2 linked regions of the Mus musculus genome follow. The protein of the gene in region 1 interacts with the protein of each later gene in a pairwise test. Links are inferred from orthologs where the notes say so. Each region holds a gene or a part of one and is shown in the gene's direction. Other genes may lie near its edges.

Region 1 (3,754 bases):
TGAGCATTTTGTTACATAGCAATTATTGGTAATGATATTCTTATGGGTTTCCCATTTCTTGTTTGGCTCCTATCTTGGTGTGCACATTCTTCCATGCCTGTTCCCATCATACATTTCACGATCTACCATTTTGGATGTAGCTCTGCCAAAATCTTTACACTGCTCTGGATTGTTTTTAAGAAGGCTTTTTATGTGACCTCAAATGCCTTCCAGTCTTCTCTCAGCTCATCCTTGAAGAGACATCTCACAGCCATGTTTCCTGTAATGCCTTCAAATTGACCACGAAAAAAGCAAAAGATGGTTCTGCTTGCTTGCTTGCTTTTTTTTTTATTCTTATTTTTATTTAATTTAATTTTTTTTTTTTTTTGAGACAGGGTTTCTCTGTGTAGCCCTGGCTATCCTGGAACTCGCTTTGTAGACCAGGCTGGCCTCAAACTCAGAAATTTGCCTGCCTCTTTTCGTGTCTGTTGTAATTCTACCCTGCTACATCTCCTAAAAGGCTCCTCAAAGACTCAGCTTTGTATGTAGTTGTGTCAAATTAGGTCGCTGCCCCTTAGCACTCCCTGCCTGTGTGTGTTTTGCTGGTTTTACCTACCGTATTGAGTGGGAGAGAGGGGGAGGAGAGAAAGAGGAAAGCCGTTTTTGTTTGTTGTTTGTTTTTCACTTCACCTCAGGCCTGGTGAAAAGATAAGTTACTGATTTTTTGGTTATTTTATGTCACTTGTCAGGGGCACCTTCTTTCCATGCCCCAAGGAAAATACAGTAGAATTTTCCCCAAATGGGTCCCAATATTAGTATCCCCAGGGAACTGACCTCAGTAACCAAAGGAACTGAGTCTCAAAACGGTAGAGTAGGTCAAGGCTGTCTTAGTCTCCGTCCTTGAGAGGGCGCTGCTCCCAAGTCAAATCCCCAGGGCTGGGAAAGAAATGCCTGCGCTTTCCCACAGGACTCTGGCAGCAGCTTTTTGCAGATAGAGTCCGCGCGGCCGCAGAGCGCCTGCCCATAGACATGGCGGCGCCCTCCTTGGCTTCGCGTCGCCCTGACCGTGGAGCTGGCCGGGTTTTGCCAGTTCTCGGGGACTTCCTGCACGTCTGGCATTTAAACGCGCGCCGGGGGCGGCGGGATGCTGCTGCGGATGCGGAGCTGTGTGAGCCGCTGCCTACCCGGCGCAGCCTGGGCTCCGCAGTAGCGGAGCTCGAGCATCCTTTAGTCATCTATCTGGGGAGACCTGGAACTCAGGCTTCGGCTTCCCGGCAGGTTTGTCTTTAATTTCCAAGGTTGCAGTTCTCTTGACACAATCCACAGCATCCTTCTCTCCAACCGGGCTGTGGATGAACCTGGGACTGGACTGAATCCAGCAGCTGGGGCAGCCCGGGCCATGGTGCGTCTGAGCCCCGAGCTCTGGTAAGGCAGTAGTGGCGGCGTTGTTCGAGCTAGGCGGGTGCCACTCCCGGGAGCTTCCTCCCAGCTGTCACAATGTTCAGTTGGCTGGGTAACGATGATCGCCGCAAGAAGGACCCTGAGGTCTTCCAGACGGTGAGCGATGGACTCAAAAAACTCTACAAGACCAAGCTGCTGCCTCTGGAAGAGTATTACCGCTTCCACGAGTTCCACTCGCCCGCCCTGGAAGATGCTGATTTCGACAACAAGCCCATGGTCCTGTTGGTGGGCCAGTACTCTACCGGCAAGACCACCTTCATCAGGTGAGCCTCATCTGGGTGCTGAGCCTTCCGGGTGACGTGGAAAGTCTTCCATTAAGGGCTCTGAAGAAATCCCTGTGGGAGGCCTCAAAAGTTGATCCTACTACCGAGTCCCCCATTGATTCCTATATGATGTCCCTCCTCAGTTCTTAGCCCTGGTCATTTTATTAAGAGTCATCCCTGTTGTCTGATCTGGGCACTGAAACTGAGGCACAGAAGGAACCAGACTCCTAATGAAGGTGGGGATACCGTAACCCTCCTTTTGACTAGAATCTCTTATCTCGTGAAGGGCTTGGGATTATCCCGGGGAGCCTTACCTTTGCAGCCGAGTTGTTCTCATGGTCGCGGGCCTGGGGATGGGGGTGAACTGGAGACCCTGGGGTCATTTATTCTTTTACCGTTTTTCCTTCTCTCTGACAGTGCTTTTAGGGCTGTCTCTTAGAGAAGCAGAATACTTTTAATAAGTTTCTTCTTTGAACTTAATAGTTCAATAATAATAATAATAATAATAATAATAATAATAATAATAATAATAATAAAGCAGCTTACAGAAGTAGAGGAGATACTAAGATGCCTCATCTGGCCCTTGACTTTGCAGGTGAGATAGCAGAGGTGATGGGAGGATACGTGATGGTTTAGAGCTGCACAAGATGGAAGCAGCCCTCGGTGCCTGTGAAAAATGTTAGCTACGTGCCTGTAACTTTAACAGGGAGTCTTCCATTCCGTTGAATGATAGATTTTGGGGGCTGCAAGCATTCAGAGAGAAAGTCAGAAAAATCCAATAGCTCTGAAGAACAGGCCTCTCTCAATCTTTACTGCATACAGACTGCAAAGCCAGGCTGCCCTTTTCAAAGGTTGAGGGGTACACATATTCCAAAGGTTGGAGGCTGCTTATGGCCCTTTGGGCTAAGAGGTCACACTCTTACAGGTGCCGTATCCTCCCAGAGTCAAGGGCACCCATCTGCAGAGGGCTTTAAAGCAGCAGTCCTCATATTTCTGGATTGGCATCATGATCTACAGAGCCACGTGCTTTGCTTGTCAAGGAGAGCAGCAGAGTTGACAACCTGGTGACTCATTTTTCAGTTTCTCGTGTCTCCCGCGCTAAGCTTCTGGGAGCCGTGTGTGTACCATGCTAACCTGTCCTGTCTGAGCAGAGCACCAAATCATTTGTCTTTGTGGAGTGGACAGTCTTGGGCTGTCAACTTGACCTGCAGCTTTGCAAGGTCAAATGATTTCTGAAGTGGGGACCTGGGGGTTGTGGCTTATTAACTCTAATATATTTTAAACATGAGACATAAATCCATTGTGGGTTTTTTTTTCACCTTGTTTTTAAAAATCTAAATCACTTTTCTTTTAAAAAAAAAAAAAAGAAAGCTGTAGCACTCTCTTTAGAAAACTCCACGGATACCCTATGTTTACCTGTAGTGTTGAATGGATTTAACTGGGAACACAGAGGGAGAATCTTGGATTCAAAGTCAACCCTTAATTTTATTAAACACCAATTGGTGCCAAATGTGCTTCAGAGATACCTGGGTTGTGCACACAAGTTCCTTTGTATCGCTGTTCTCCACCCTTTTGGGTTTATGCCTCATGGGAAGTGTGGGCAATCTGCAAACTGTTCTTGGCTTCGCACCGCCTTCCCTGGCCCTCTGATCATCCTTGGTCATGACCCTGAGGACATTAAGCTACTGGACCATCTCCTTCCCGCAGTAAAGGCACTTTGGTAGCTTCTGGACCTGAGCATGTCCAGGGACTAAGCTCTGGGGAGTTCCCAGCAGCCATCTTGCAAAATGGGAGGGAAGAAAAGCAAATGTGTTTTAAGAGCAGGGTCCCCCGAACACTAGAAAGTTTAAGTGCCTCTGTGTGGGATACCCTCTGGATTTTGCCTAAGTCACCACAGGCTGTTACTAGATCCAAGAAAGTGGAAGAGTGAGATGCCCCACATTATCCCTTATCTGAGGGAGGCAGATCCCTCTTCCTTCTTATCCTCCTAGTTCAAGGGGCCCCCTTCCTCCTCATAACAATAACTGAATTTAGCTCGTGCACCCAAAGCC
Region 2 (2,363 bases), on another chromosome or scaffold:
ATGGTTGCGCACCTGATCAGTGACCCTGACCACTGCCCCATCCTACCCAGGTGCTCCCTCCCTCCCTGGCTGAGTGTCTTTGTTCTTTGCTGCAGATTTCCAAAGAGAGGCCGAGTCTGACAGTAAGAAGAAAGGCAAGTTCAAGACCATAAAGGTGCTGAAGTTTCTGGGGAATAAACGAGAAGCCAAGAGCAAGGCCCCAGGGGACAAGAGCTGACAGCGAAGGAAGCCACCTTCCTTTCCTCTCCTGGAGCCTTGAGGCCACAGCAGCACTCTGCTGCCGGGGGACCTGCCAAGGGGGACGATGACCGTGGGAGGGAGTCTCTGGGTGACTTTTCCCCTCCTCCATGGTCTCCAGCTGGTCTGGGCTAAAGATTTTTCCTTCTTCCCTGTGTCCCAACCAGTTGTGACTTAGCCCTGCCCACTTGGATTCTGTCCCCAGATGCTGTGGCCAGCCTGGAGCAAGCAGGGATGCAGGCTCCAGGCAGAGGCCGTGGCTCTCCTTGTTCTCCCTGAACCAGGTCAGATGGGGTCCTCACCACAGTCCTTCTCACAGCAGGCCCTGGTTAAGGGCTCGAGTACTTTGCAGCAGGCCAGCAGCAAGGTTGGCTGCCTAGCTTCTGCCTTCCCAGCTCTGACCCCTAGTCCCTGCCTTCCTGTCTAGCGCATATGTCCTTGAAACTCATGTCACCTCACTCAGGAGCTGTATTTATGAGGGTTGCAAGTCCAGCCCCTCAGAGCGCTCTGTGCTGTGTCAGAAGGGAATGGGCTGAAGACAGTTCCGTTTCCTCTCCCTCATCTCCTTTGCTCTGTGGGAACCCAGGATTACCACACAGGGAGCTGCTGGCTGAGCTGGGGCACTGACTCAGGTCAGCCTGGAAGGGATGCTTTGGGTGGGTGTTCTCTCAGTCAGGCTTTCTGTCTTCCCCACGTCCGGGGATGATGGGCCCATTCCTTTTTGTGGTCTGGGCAGTCTGTCACTGGGGACTGTGCCAGGCAGCTTATGGTCTAAGCACTGTTCTTACACTCGGGGACTTCAGAGTCCCTCCCTTTGTGCATCCTGGGAAGGAACTCACTGTATCTCAGTTGCCAGTGCCCCTTGGTAGTCTCTCCAGATTCACTTGCTGTCCTGGAACCAGGGCCACCACCTCAGAGGTCTTTCAGAGGAGCCCTATGACCCAGTTGCTGTAACCCAGGAGAGGGCTCTACCAGGCTGTCTCTGTGTCAAGGAAAGTTTGTATCTCAGTGAACAGGACAACCTTTCTCATAGTCACCTGTGTCCTGTCAACATGGGCCCATCAGAAGACATCCAGAATCCAGTTCTCCTACAGGCACAAGTTGTAAATGCTGACATCAAAGTTGAGTTTGTCACAGTGGGCTACACTTGTCCTGGGTTTTCCATTGTGCTAGGCCTGCACATTAGAGGGCTTGCCCCGACTGATTGAACCCTTATCTGCTGGCTGCTGCAGAGTAGTCATGTTTATTCTATTAGGACAAGAACACAGGTCATATGTTCTAATAGAGTTATGGGAAACTTCCAGCAGGTGCAGGAAATATTTATGGGGACAGGGAAATGAAAATATTGGTGAAGGTCAGGCTGCTTAGTGTCAACAGCCCAAAGAAAGGACACTGATGTGCAGTGTACCAGGTGGGGTACCAGGTGGGGTCCAAGTTAGATTCTCATCTGTGCTGGACAAGTTCTGATTCCGAACACATAAGTGTTATCCCTGGGGAAACAAGGTGGCACATGTCAGGGGCAAGTGAAATGTGTTTTATTGGCCAGTTAATTGTTGTGGTTAAACATTTGCCCAAGGCTACAAGAAGGCAAAGACTTAGATCCTAAGGGAAAGATCTAAGGGAGGAAAGAGTCATGTTTAATTTTTGGTTCAGAAAGGCAAAACAGAGCACCTGAGGCCAGCTGTGACATCAGGAGAGCCACAGAGAGGGTGCCCTTAGGCACATGTCCAAGGTGGGTGAGCCTGGGCATCGCCATGGTGTGCCTGGGGCTTTTCCCTAGAGAAAGAAACACAGTAGCTATGACACTACTCTGCGGCTTCTGCATCCCCAGGCAGTGACTAGGACACTGTTTCATGCCACAGGACAAAGCCATGTCATGATCTGGCGTGGCCCAGCCCCCATGGGTGGGCAGGCCTGGGATGGGTGCTGTGTGGCAGAGTGAAGGGCACTGGTTCTGGCTGTTGTGCCGGGTTGGCAGTCTCACTGGGTGAGCCCGCCCTTGTCTTGGGTTAAGTGGTGGCGAGGGCTTTCCTCAGCTCCTTGCTCCTCCTGCGATCAATGTCCTCCATTTCCCGTAGTTTCTGCAGAGAGCCACCAGAAAGAGCTGCTGTCATGGCAGGCAGGAC

The links.
Region 2: the proteins of Ehd3 (region 1) and Micall1 interact in binary tests that used the Homo sapiens proteins (3 or more experiments, as listed by UniProt). The link is inferred for Mus musculus from reciprocal best matches to the Homo sapiens genes EHD3 and MICALL1.

Annotation. Positions count from the first base shown.
Region 1 is NC_000083.6:73,803,767-73,807,520, forward strand, and holds the start of Ehd3 (EH domain-containing protein 3), read left to right. Parts: upstream 1-1,074; 5' UTR 1,075-1,476; coding exon 1,477-1,703; intron 1,704-3,754. UniProt on the Homo sapiens protein: ATP- and membrane-binding protein that controls membrane reorganization/tubulation upon ATP hydrolysis. In vitro causes tubulation of endocytic membranes. Binding to phosphatidic acid induces its membrane tubulation activity.
Region 2 is NC_000081.6:79,132,905-79,135,267, forward strand, and holds part of Micall1 (MICAL-like protein 1), read left to right. Parts: intron 1-95; coding exon 96-217; 3' UTR 218-2,246; coding exon of another isoform or gene 2,247-2,318; 3' UTR 2,319-2,363. Other genes in the region: 1700088E04Rik (UPF0193 protein EVG1 homolog), read right to left, coding at 2,247-2,318. UniProt on the Homo sapiens protein: Lipid-binding protein with higher affinity for phosphatidic acid, a lipid enriched in recycling endosome membranes. On endosome membranes, acts as a downstream effector of Rab proteins recruiting cytosolic proteins to regulate membrane tubulation.